Neodiprion lecontei: one gene and its partners. The protein of the gene in region 2 interacts with the protein of the main gene of each other region in a pairwise test. Links are inferred from orthologs where the notes say so. Each region holds a gene or a part of one and is shown on either strand. Other genes may lie near its edges. The genes, in order: 60S ribosomal protein L12, protein arginine N-methyltransferase 6 and N-terminal Xaa-Pro-Lys N-methyltransferase 1.

What was found.
Region 1: the proteins of protein arginine N-methyltransferase 6 (region 2) and 60S ribosomal protein L12 interact in a two-hybrid assay, tested with the Drosophila melanogaster proteins (2 studies listed by BioGRID). The link is inferred for Neodiprion lecontei from reciprocal best matches to the Drosophila melanogaster genes Art8 and RpL12.
Region 3: the proteins of protein arginine N-methyltransferase 6 (region 2) and N-terminal Xaa-Pro-Lys N-methyltransferase 1 interact in a two-hybrid assay, tested with the Drosophila melanogaster proteins (2 studies listed by BioGRID). The link is inferred for Neodiprion lecontei from reciprocal best matches to the Drosophila melanogaster genes Art8 and Ntmt.

The regions. Positions count from the first base shown.
Region 1 is NC_060266.1:224,952-228,422, forward strand, and holds 60S ribosomal protein L12, read left to right. Parts: upstream 1-1,594; 5' UTR 1,595-1,699; coding exon 1,700-1,736; intron 1,737-1,849; coding exon 1,850-1,923; intron 1,924-2,016; coding exon 2,017-2,403; 3' UTR 2,404-2,407; intron 2,408-2,873; 3' UTR 2,874-2,917; downstream 2,918-3,471. Other genes in the region: cilia- and flagella-associated protein 52, read right to left, coding at 1-201, 285-534, 600-777, 843-1,042, 1,127-1,172.
Region 2 is NC_060260.1:29,298,919-29,303,755, reverse strand, and holds protein arginine N-methyltransferase 6, read left to right. Parts: upstream 1-1,753; 5' UTR 1,754-1,927; coding exon 1,928-1,981; intron 1,982-2,141; coding exon 2,142-2,256; intron 2,257-2,393; coding exon 2,394-2,760; intron 2,761-2,925; coding exon 2,926-3,439; 3' UTR 3,440-4,316; downstream 4,317-4,837. Other genes in the region: lysM and putative peptidoglycan-binding domain-containing protein 3, read left to right, coding at 4,725-4,774.
Region 3 is NC_060261.1:34,123,921-34,127,863, reverse strand, and holds N-terminal Xaa-Pro-Lys N-methyltransferase 1, read left to right. Parts: upstream 1-1,674; 5' UTR 1,675-1,798; coding exon 1,799-1,966; intron 1,967-2,173; coding exon 2,174-2,360; intron 2,361-2,439; coding exon 2,440-2,548; exon of another isoform or gene 2,549-2,670; coding exon 2,671-2,926; 3' UTR 2,927-3,216; downstream 3,217-3,943. Other genes in the region: probable pre-mRNA-splicing factor ATP-dependent RNA helicase mog-4, read right to left, coding at 1-210, 296-498, 573-814, 897-1,065, 1,159-1,327; heparin sulfate O-sulfotransferase, read right to left, coding at 3,217-3,428, 3,611-3,768, 3,891-3,943. UniProt on the Drosophila melanogaster protein: Alpha-N-methyltransferase that methylates the N-terminus of target proteins containing the N-terminal motif [Ala/Pro/Ser]-Pro-Lys when the initiator Met is cleaved.

The DNA of each region.
Region 1 (3,471 bases), on a different chromosome or scaffold from region 2:
TTGACCAATTCCACTGTTCCATCTCCTGCTCCAACCACCAGTCTCTCATTGCCAAGCAAGGTCAAACCAGTAATGCCTCCCGCGTACAATATCGCCTCAGTATTTGTTTTTTTTATATTCTTAGGGACTTTTGAGTAGCAGCCAACCATCACTGGGGTTTTCACTGGCTCCATGAACTCCATATTATGATAGAAGTTTAGCCTGAGTGAGAAAGTAAAAAGGTAAGTGCCAAGAACGCATTGTGTTTTTAAATCGCTGACGATCCGCTCCTTCTCATCTTATACCTCGCTCTGATCAGATCCCCCGAAGTTGTTCCACAGTAAGCATTCTCGTCCCTAGGATCGACAACAATGCAGTTGACGGACCTCCGCAATTTTCCTACTTTCACGTTAACTCCGTAGACCTTTCGAGTCTCTCGGTATATTCTCCAGACCTTCAGCGTTCTGTCGCCGCCTGTTATAAAGCACAAGTCGCGTAGGTTCATTCTTGTTATCGTCCATGCGTCACCAGCAATTTCGTTGCTCGCGTACGACCCTGAAATTTGGTGAATGGTTTATTCAGTAGCGACATATCAACAGGGGTTCAGCAAAGTTAATTACCGCACATCGCGTCGCCCTGGCTTATGTCCCAGACAACAACGTTACCGTCGTCTCGTCCCCCCAGACTGATAAGAAAGCCGCTTTCACAGGTGAAGCAGACGTCCTCTACGCGAGCTTTGTGTATTTCGTGGCTTCCCTTTATCGATAAGTCTTTGTAATTCCAGACGATCACCATCGCCTGAAATAATTCACAATTAATTGCCGAGCGTCTGATCTAAGGGTTTGAGCCGCTGTAAATCACACCTTGAAGCCAACGTGATTTATCTGTCCAGACCCAACATAATTTCCACAAGGTGAGACGCAGACTGCGGATATGACGTTTGTGTGACCGGTGAGAAACTTCTGCTTTCCAGAGGCTATATTTTTTATTGTCACCTTGTTGCCCATTGCGTAGATCAGGTGCTCATTGTCAGGGTGAAGCTGAAGGCCCTTTCGGCTCACACCTGTCATTTAAAATATTAAAAATGAGACTATGAAGCGGAGAATTTCTCGGAAGAGGTATTGAGTAAGCGTAGGAAACTACGAACCATCGAAAGCTATTATTCCTTCCAACTCGAGATTCTCCACGTCCATTTTTACCCTTTTAAAAATTACCCCAAAGGCTAGCTTGTTCAGTTAAAATTGTTCACCGCTTAGCATTTGAGCGACATTAGACACTTCTGTCAAATTATTTCTGACTCAGCGTGCATTGAATGGTTACGGGGATTACAATTCCCCTCCCGTTTCCATGGAAACGCGGGACGTCAAGTTTAAATTCAAAGCGAAGCAACCTACCACGTGAACCAAGTGATGCTTCGATGAAGCGAAGTCATGGGATGAACAACAAAATTGTGGTAAAGAGAATGAATTAGAGGGTACGGTAAATTATTAGCTTGGGAATTGAAAGAATTCATATCCAAGATTTCGAATCGTCGCAATTTCATCAAATAGGTAATGTATCCGGGACTCAAGTAGTCTGCATCTGCTTAGGCCGAGCGCTACTAACTTCCGGCCTCCCAAAGGTCCGCCTTTCCTAAGCGCGATCCCCGCGAGTTCGCATCGTTTGTGAATCTATCATAATCGGGATCGTGTAACGTAATTTAATTAACCAGCGCATCACCATGCCTCCTAAATTCGATCCTACCGAAGTTAAGAAAGGTACGTACTCGTTACTTCCGTCCTTGAATCTCCTCAATAAAAATTATGAACCTTAATTTCGAGCTTTTTCACACGTGTCACGTATGTTGCATTATATTTTACTATTCTTACAGTCTACCTTCGATGTGTTGGAGGAGAAGTCGGTGCGACCTCTTCCCTTGCTCCGAAAATCGGTCCTCTCGGTTTGGTGGGTGAAAAACCACGATCAATCTAACCTAACCTATCCGTAATCTACACGGTCGTTTTTTTGTTTTTTTATTAACGCCCCTTACTCTCACAGTCTCCGAAAAAAGTCGGTGACGACATCGCGAAGGCGACCAGCGACTGGAAGGGTCTAAAAATTACAGTGCAGCTGACTATCCAGAACAGGCAGGCGACTATATCCGTTGTGCCGTCAGCAGCGTCACTGATCATAAAGGCACTGAAGGAGCCGCCGAGGGACAGAAAGAAACAGAAGAACATCAAGCACAGTGGTAATCTCTCTATGGACGAAGTCATAAGCATCGCTCGTGTCATGAGGCCCAGATCCATGTCCCGGGAGCTCAGCGGAACCATAAGAGAAATCCTTGGCACCTGCCAGTCTGTTGGCTGCACCGTCGAAGGACGCCCCCCACACGATCTTATAGATGAGATCAATGCTGGGCAGTTGGAAACTCCGGAAGAATAAAATGGTGGGTACAGGGCCCTGCGCTTGCGTCTTAGGTCGTTGCAACGGTGTTTATCTTGCAAGAAGTAAAGATGTCGTTAGTTCAAAAAGAGAATGCTTTGGCGCGATTTCTTTTGTTATTCATCCCTTGCCGGTGCAAATGAAAGCGTGAGCTTAGGGCTCTTGGTAGGGGTTGGCATCCCATCCACCTGATGGGTACCGATCAGAAACATGGCGACACTGTTTCTGGCCGGATTATACTGATCAGGCACTTGTGGCCATTGGGGAGAAAACCCCAACAACAAATCTGGCATATTAAAAACTGAAATATTGTGAACTCGTGCTACGATTGCTTCAAGTTTTTCTTACTTTTATTTTACTATCTGTAGTTTGGGGGTGTGGTAAAAGAAACTTTGAACACACATTACAGCCAGAGTTTGCAATAATGAATTTTAGACTCACCATCAACTCGGATTTTTTTACTGTTTCAGATGATTGAAGGAGGTTAAAATTGAATAAAGAAAATCTTATCAAACAACTTTTTTTTATTCACCCTAATCATATTGTTCTCCAACCTTATTACGTGTTTAATTTCATTGATCCTGCCTATAATATTATTTTTTCCTAAGATCGATCAATATTGTTATTAGAATTTGTAAGAACTCTGTCTTTCAACGAACATTAAAAATCAGTTATTCATCGGATTTGAATAATTCCCGGGCCAAAATGAGTGTGGCCAACTTCGCGTCCTAGTCGTCCATCTCGAATGTCGAACTTGCAATTAGTTCGATTCCTAAACGGCTCGGACTTCACGCAGGTGTCAAAAATTGCGACGACTCCGATTCAACTTCACGGTGTTCGTTTCACGGTGAAGTGACAGTTGCGATCTGATCACTGGATGATCATAAGATTACTATCTGGCCAGCGTTCCAGCTCAGTGGGTTTTTTTTTCTCGTATGTGTTTACGTATTACCTACTATCGTCCCTCAATTTCGGCGACAAACGAACGTCGACATTACGTATGGCAGGAAGAAGCCCGCGCCTCGACAGTTAATTAATTAATCGGCGAATCAACGCGACTTGTCTCTG
Region 2 (4,837 bases):
CATGTTCTTTGCCAGAGTTATTAACAATTCACCAAAGAATACATATCAATTTACTGTGTCATTAACTGCTTTCAGAACTCGAAAGATAGAATTATAGTCAAGAAAATAGAACTCTGTTTCTTGAATCAATTTTCAAATGCTTTCCATTTTTAAACGCGTCAACGAAAGAAAACAACATCGAATTTAGTTCTGAGCATCACCGTCGTCACGCTAGCGGCGCTTGAGAGCTCGGCCGCCATTACGCGACGCCCACTGGCCAGTGATAGTTGATCATGGAAGTGGAACTGGTCGAATGTTGGCGAATAGCGTGCTTGACCCGTGTCCCGGTACGTTTAACCATGTTTAACTCGGTATTATGATTAGGTGTAAGTTTTTCTTACGAGTAGATTCCTTTAATCGGTTGACATAACAGTCGTGAGTGGATAAATTTGCTGTTTAATCACTCGGCGTAAGGCATACTAAACTTCGACAATCTTAAACAAGTGACTGCAACCGCGTTGAATATGTCAATTGTTTTACCTATTTGTTGCGACGCGACGTAATCAAGAAGTTGTTTTCTCCTATTCGCGTTCTCAGAAATATAGACTTGTTTAGCTTTGTCACAGCGTTTGGAGCTTACCCAAAGTGTCTAACATAAAACTAGATTCTCTACGTTTTTGCTACGAAATTATTACCGTGATCGTTAGATTCGTACTGGCGATTAAAATTCAGTGTAATGTCTTACACGTTTACTCTTCTACCATGTTGAAGTTATAAGTGACCTTATCGGAACAATTCATGTCGAGGAAAAACCGTTACTTCGTGATTTTGAAAATTGTTTGAAATTTAGTAAACCATAATAAATCAAAACATACTCATATACTGAAATTTTCGTTCCTTCAGTCAGTTTAAAAATGAAAAAATACTGATTTTTTTCGCAATGTTTCATTACGGTAACGTTACTAACTTCAGTCTTGTGATATTTTGAAAATGGTCGAATTCGTAATTCTTGTGTAACTTTTCGAGGTAATTATCTTTGAACTTTCTTAGTGTCGTGTTTACGGATAATAAAATAGTGATAGTGAGCTACCCGCTTGAGTGTGTTTGTGCGTTCAGATTGATCGTGAAAAGTGTATGTGAATATCCAGTGCATTTAATATACATACATCAAATTCAGGAGCCGGCTCGATGCAGCCGTAAGTGCATCAAAGTGATCAAGAGTGACATCCTGCAGGCGCTGAGCTCAAATGGCGAGATGACAAAAATTAGGTACGCCCCTGCTCTTTTTGGGTAAGAATATATTTTCATCGAACCAATTTATACTGAATCGGTGTCAATGTGTTGTGATATCGCATCAGGATAGATTCTAATACATAATTTATGGCTGCACAGGTATATTCTAAAGTGTATGTTTTTATTCTGTACTTTCCACCGTGCGTAGTATTAGCAAAGCTATATTAGAAACGCCGATTTTAAGATATAATGTAACAATTAGGCACTCTTTAGGTACTAGGTTAAAAGCTGCACTTATCAAGATGATTCAGATGCTTGGTTTTGTTTTATTAGAACATTTATTCTTACATTGCGTACATTACCACTAAAACATCGTTGAATCAGTCTTCGAGAAAATATGATAAAATTTCATCCTGTTTTGGATGCATTTTTGGATCTAGTCGCAGTCATTTGTTTTTGATAATCGCTACGTATCCATCAAGTCTGACTGCGCCTTTTGCGCGTAGACTCAATACTCCTCGTTTCCGAGAACAACCCGCACACTTCACGACGTCTCTTGGCTGTAACGCACGCACTCTTTAAATCTTGTATACACCGTGGCTGACAACGACATTCCGAAAATTGTAGGTTATGAGTGTCACGTGCAAGAGTTAGCCTAGCATACATCGTCGTAATTTTAGTTTTTAGGAAGATTGACAAAGAACGTAATTTAACAATGGACACCGGCGATTCAACAGATGAATATTTCAAGAGTTACGAGGATCTGGAAGTAAACATTCACTTACGTCACTATTGATATTTACTGATGGAGACAGTTTGAAAGGAAATGATTGATTGTTTGAATTAATATTATTATCCTCCTGTCGATCATTTCCTACTGACTTCTCACTGACGACGGTAGTTTTTTTTCATTGCGCTTGTCTCCACAGGTTCATCGACTGATGCTAGAGGATAAACCTCGTACCCTTGCTTACAAAAATGCAATATTTGCTTGTAGCGATAAATTTCAGAACAAAATTGTAATGGATGTTGGTGCTGGGACGGGTATGAAGTTAACACTTTTATCACATAATAATTAATGAAGTCGATTTGTTAATTATGCAAAGAACTTTAGTTGCGAAAATTTAGACACAAGTGAAGTCTTACCAGTAATATCTGCATTGATTGATGATTCTCAACAGGTATACTATCGGTGTTCTGTGCCAAAGCAGGTGCTGCAAAAGTTTATGCTATAGAAGCAAGCCACATGGCACAAGTAGCAAAAGAAGTAGTTCGCGAAAATGGTTTTGAAAGTATCATAGAAGTGATTCACAGTAAAGTAGAAGATTTAAAGAGTGATGATATCGGCAAAGTCGATATCATAGTCTCTGAATGGATGGGATTTCATTTGATGCACGAGGGAATGCTGGATTCGGTACTTGTGGCCAGAGATCAATTCTTGAAAGAAAATGGACTCATGTTCCCTAACGAGGCCAAACTTTATGCATCTCCTTGCGAATTACCCACTGTGTATGATTTTTGGAACGATGTATACGGAGTCAGTATGGAGTAAGGAAATACATTTGTTAGCATGGTCGACTATCAACATTAGTATTTAATTTCTGGTTGATTCTATAGATGCCATCACGAGTTTAAAACAGGCTGTCAGCATTCTGACTATAGCATGTTCAAGCCTTCCTTTCGTTTTAAAATTCTCTTACTTTTTTTGAATAGGTTTGTCAGCCGGGAACAGAGACGTTTGAAGTCTAAAAAGCCAAATATTTCGTCTTTAGAGGCAAATAACTTACTGACGGATGGAAAGCTGCTTGTTTGGCTGGATCTCAGTACAGCAACTATGCCAGAATTGTTATGTCTCGGTGGTGAATCTACGGTCGTACCGTGCAATCGGAACGGAATATATCAGGGCATTTGCGTATGGTTTTCCGTTACATTTCCGGATGGTTCGGAATTATCGACTAGTCCAGAGTATGAATCAACTCATTGGAAACAAAGTATTGTAGTACTCCCACACGATATTCCGGTAACGAAAGATGAACCAGTAGCATTCAAGCTCGAACTCCGTAAGGATTCTTTGAAACCAAGAATTTATAATGTGGAATATACTCAGTTAGACCCAGAAAACGTCGAACACGATATTCCCTGTCATTGTTATATGACCAAGTGTTTAGTAATAAAAGCTTATCTCTCTGAACATCCAGAGGAAGATATCCAGGGTAGAGAAACTTAATTTTTACTACGAAGTCACATGTTTTGTGATTTCAAGTACCATACTGCATCTATTCTTGCTTATGCAAGTTTCCTTGTGAATAAGCATATGGGTTAATTCTCGCGAAACGGGACGGGTTTCAACGGATGGTCATCGAATTTGACGCGCGGCTAGAATCTCATTCCTTACTATCTTGTGAAGACTCTTCCATAGTGTTGGGTTCATACATAAATTCTTGACTCCTCGCTAACCGTGATTGAACGAATTTTCCTTGGACTACTCAGTTCACTTGGAAATTTTACCGATCACAGTTCAAGTTGTTAAAAAAGTGTGCTATAATTTTCAGCTGGGCGTTTGATTTTGTTCACTGGCAATCAATTATCGCAAAAATTGGATTGAAAATTGAAACAGTTTTCTTTTTCAATCATTTTCTACCGACAAACAAGCAAGAAAAATGTCCAGCTAAAAATTATACCACAACTTTTATCACAACCTGAACTGTGTGCAGTAAATTTTTCAAGCGAATCGAGTAGAGTACAGAAAATCCTTCAATCGTGATTTGCGGGGAATCAATTTTTGCTTGCGACCCAAAACCATAGAAGACTCTTCACTAGATAGTAAGGAATGAGATTCTACCCGATATGAACCTACATAGAATGTTCAATTGTTATATTTGTTTAAATATTTCAGATACATTTTATGTAACTTTTATTAAAGATGTCTGCAATTTTAAGTAAGCCATTTTTTGATACAAATAATTCTGTAGTATTTGTTGTTATGTGGTATAAAAGCCGGATCTAAAGACTACTATTTGTACATGGGATTTTACTTCCAACTATTTTTTAAATAATTTGGAAATAAATTGTGCCCATTGAAGTAAGGGTGCTCAGAAAAAATGGTGTAATACATAAATTTTCCTGCACACTTTGACAGTACTACGTTCTAGTCTGTACGTGTCTACCTGAGTTTTTATCCCGCATAGATTGTCGATTTAACGATGAATTTGTCGGATTTCTTTTTACCATTACTCCTGAAAAAAGCTCGTGTTACGTCATACGCGTATGTTTAGTTGCCTGCCGTTAGGCGTACAGTCAATCGGCGTGATTATAATGGTACGCTTGTTTTATTTGCATGGAGAGAACCGACTGGATATGAATGACATTTGCAGAAGAAAAAAAAAGTAAAACAGCTGACAATTATAATTTTTACTTGAAAGGTTATGGAATGTAGTCAGTTATTTCAATACTGCGAACAACAAGTAGTAATCAAGTGAGCACAGTGAAATGTTATCGTAATATTAACAAAGATGCGAAAAATATCACTCAGTAACGGAAATGATGGGCAGAGATCGGGAAGGTAACTGACGTTCTTCTCAAGGTTATGTTTATCCCAAGATGATTTATCCAATATTTCGTTGAT
Region 3 (3,943 bases), on a different chromosome or scaffold from region 2:
ACAGTCTTCAAATCGAATAGCATATCCAACTTCGTTTCCTAATTTAACAGCCATTTCATGTGCAACTCTTGCGGCAACAGACATTGCAGCAACTCTTCTGGGCTGAGTGCAGCCTATGACTTTACTGTCATCAGCAAAACCAGCCTGATATAAATACTGTGGAATCTGAGTTGTTTTGCCAGAACCAGTTTCGCCCTCAATAATTAACACCTGTTCAGACATAACATAAATCTTACAGTAAAAAAAGTACAAGGCAAATGAATGAGAGTAACGTAATACAGATATCAAATTTCACCTGATGATCCCTGATAGCCTGTATCAAGTCATTTTTAAAAGGATATATAGGAAGACTTTTCTGTGTCTCTTCAATGGTAGTTAAAACTTTCATTTCCTTCGGAGGAGAAACAGCTTGTTTCTTATGCTTGGAGCTTCCTGGTATCTGCAGCGCCTGGACAAACTCTACTTCATCTTCCAGCAACAGATCATAATCCTGTTTAGCTGTAAAAAATTAAATATTCCTTAAAAATTATAAATAAGCAAATCTTACTGATAATTGTGAGAAGAATTATTACCTTTTCTATCTTTTGCCCCAAAACGAAATACTGCTGATGACATCTGGTCCGACTCCCATTTGCTTTGCTCAGATTGCGGTGGTTCTGGGTCAACAGTTTCAGGCTCAACAGCATCTTTGCCTCGTTCATGAGGCATGTGATACCTTTGCACCCGTTCCATTTCACGCGCCTTCTCATGCTCTTTGGCAAGCTGAAGTAGCTGCTTTTTATGTTCTCGTTCCCTCTTTTCGCGCTCAGTCAGGCTGTTAAATGAATTTGATTTATAATTTTGAAAATCAATACTTCAATCCAACCAGAAAAGTATTCTACTCCTGTAAAACTCACATCTCATCTCCAAAGAGATATTCATCGTCTAATATGTCAGCCTCGAGCTCAGCTACCTTATCTTCCTTTCGTTTCTCTAAATACTTCCTCCGCGATTCGACGCGAAGTTTAGGAATAAGCTTATCACGAGATTGAGTTTCCATAACCTTAAGTCTCTTGGCTGCTTCCGCTGCAAATTTGATAATATTAAGTGTATGAATGTCACCACTAAGTGATTGTATAAAGCTGATAAAACAACTTAGGACATTTTGCCTAAACTTACCAGCCCCGGATCCAGCTGGTGTAGCAACCTTGCGCACCTTCGTATCATCTTTGGACTTGAGACGTTTGGCAAATTCATCCCTTTCCTTAATATCCCTTTTGCGCCTCTCCTCTTCGCTGTCACTGTCACTGTCTTCTGGCGACGATTGCTTCCTCCTATACTTGCTCATTTTCTGTTTCTAAAATCCTCAACGACTCATCTAGGCTAAGTCCTGAATTATATCACAACGGTTAGTAACTGAAATGAAGGTTGAAGCAGATTATTAAATTTCGATGTTATCGCTGGACAACAGATGAATACTCACTAACAGTTCTGGTAAATGTATGAAAACTGTTTAACGTGCGTATTTTACGGGACCGGGAATGATAATACGATTGTTAAACAACAAACCACGATACAAAAAAACCTGACCACTAATTTGAAATAGTTTGAAATCAGCCATAAAAATCGTGTTTGAGATGCACACACATTCGGGTAAATAAGTTTGCCTTTTGGAACGGTCGAGGAAAACAATAATAATCATAATAAAGTCACAATATAAAAATTGAATAACCCGGGTACATTTTAAAATTACACAATGAAAGTGATGTGTATAACAAATTAGAAAAAGTGCTCAAATCTTAAAAATATCAATTTAGTAATGGATGATATTCAGAAAAATGACAAAAGGACTGAAAATTTTTATTCCGACGCTGCCAACTACTGGTCTAAAGTCCCAGCCACAGAGGATGGAATGTTAGGAGGATTTGGGTTCATTTCGAACACAGATATCGAAGGGTCGGAATTATTTCTAAGATCAGCCTTCAAGGTACGGTATTCAGTCAAATTTACACAAAATTGTGTTTCATAAATATTTTATTGATGCTCGCCACATTGATGCCGAGATACCTAGGAACGTAACCTCAAAATTCAAACCCACATGTGCTTTCGTATAATTTTGGAATCCATCTGAAGGCTGATTCCAAAAATATATTTTGATCTATATTCTGTGATTTCCATATAACGCACGTTTCAGTTAAAAAATCCTCCGAGAAAAGAATATGCTTTAGACTGTGGTTCTGGGATTGGCAGAATATCAAAACATCTACTTACCAAACACTTCAAAAAAGTTGATTTGGTTGAGCAAAATTCCGAGTTTCTAGAAGCAGCAAAAACTTACCTCGCTGGTCGTACAAAAAGAGTTGGGGAATTTTTTCCCATAGGTATGAAAGTAAAAGCCTGAGAATCTTAAATAATTTACATATAATACATGTAATACTTTACAGGATATTACTCTTACAGGTCTGCAAAACTTTTGTCCTGAAGTAGGGAAGTATGATGTCATATGGTGTCAATGGGTTTTAGGACATCTACAAGATAACGATTTTATAAAATTTTTCAGCCACTGTCAGTTAGTAACATTTGCTATTCATATTTTGTTTCAGTATTGTAATTTACAGTGGAAATGAGAATTTACCGTATAATTTACAATGTAAAATAGTAATCTGTAACTTTGTAAAATATATTCAACAGGGCAGGACTCAAAGAGAATGGCGTGGTAATAGTAAAAGAAAATATAACAAGTTCTGAAAACGTTGAAGTTGATACACAGGATTCCTCAGTAACACGCCCACTGAAGGAATTACAACGTTTATTCGATCTGGCTGGATTTTCTTCTGTAAAGGAACAAAAACAATCCAGACTTCCACGAGGTCTTTATCCTGTTTATATGTTCATATTACGACCTAGAAAAATCATACGGAATTCTGTGAGCAATGTACTACAGTAGAAATAAATAGTTCACAATTATCACATAGATCAGTTTAATTCCGACATTGCACACAACAATAAATATATATATATGATGATTGTTAATATTTAATTCTTTGATATGAATGAAATTGTAAAGAAAAACAAGAAAGACCACTTGAAAACCATACACAAGAATAATTTTTAAAAATTTTAACACTTTTTAATTCAATAAAGTTTATACTCAACTGGTTTAATTTTTTCAGATACAAAGTGTCGATTCACTAAATAAAAATATTTCAATACTCTTAAATTTACCATAGTTTAATTTCATTTTGGTCTGATTTTTTCATACATGAAGTGTTGATTCGCTTCCTGCGGCGTTGAGTTTATAACACGCTTTTTTACTGCGTGAAAATGAGCCAAAACATGCATGTATAAATCATTCTCCATCTGCCATACTTGCGAATTTTGAATTTTCTTCACAGTTTCTGGGAGAGGGTCAATTTTTTGGGTAGTTTGTCGTAAGTGGGACTTGCTATCTGAAAAAATTAATTGATTTGAGATTTTTTTAAATTATCACAAACTGTAGTTGCGTTATATTGTAAAGACATTGCCAGTGGATAAAAGTAGTAGACTAGAAAAATTATTAAAAATTTGATTGAATTTTAAAACATGCTATGCTTTACTATTATCAATCCTTAATATCTAACACGTGTCTTACTATGCATAAAGTGATCATAGGCTCCTTTGAAAAATCGTGGTAGTGTAGCCTGAAGAGTTTGTACAAATTCTGGTAATTCTTCTGTGACTCCAACTAGGAGGTAGTGTTTTTCTACATTTCTTTTAGCTTCTGCAACTGCCCATGGATTACCGACTTCCCTTTAATCAATTAAATCATTACATTCAACTAAATATACGTTTGTGATTATAAAAGATAAGAAATTGCACAATAATTCTCAGTCAATTGATTTCCAAGCATATTAAGTGTAAAAACTTCATACCAACAAGCAGGTTCGTGTCCACAGAGGAACGGAACTTGAAGCCACATATTGTT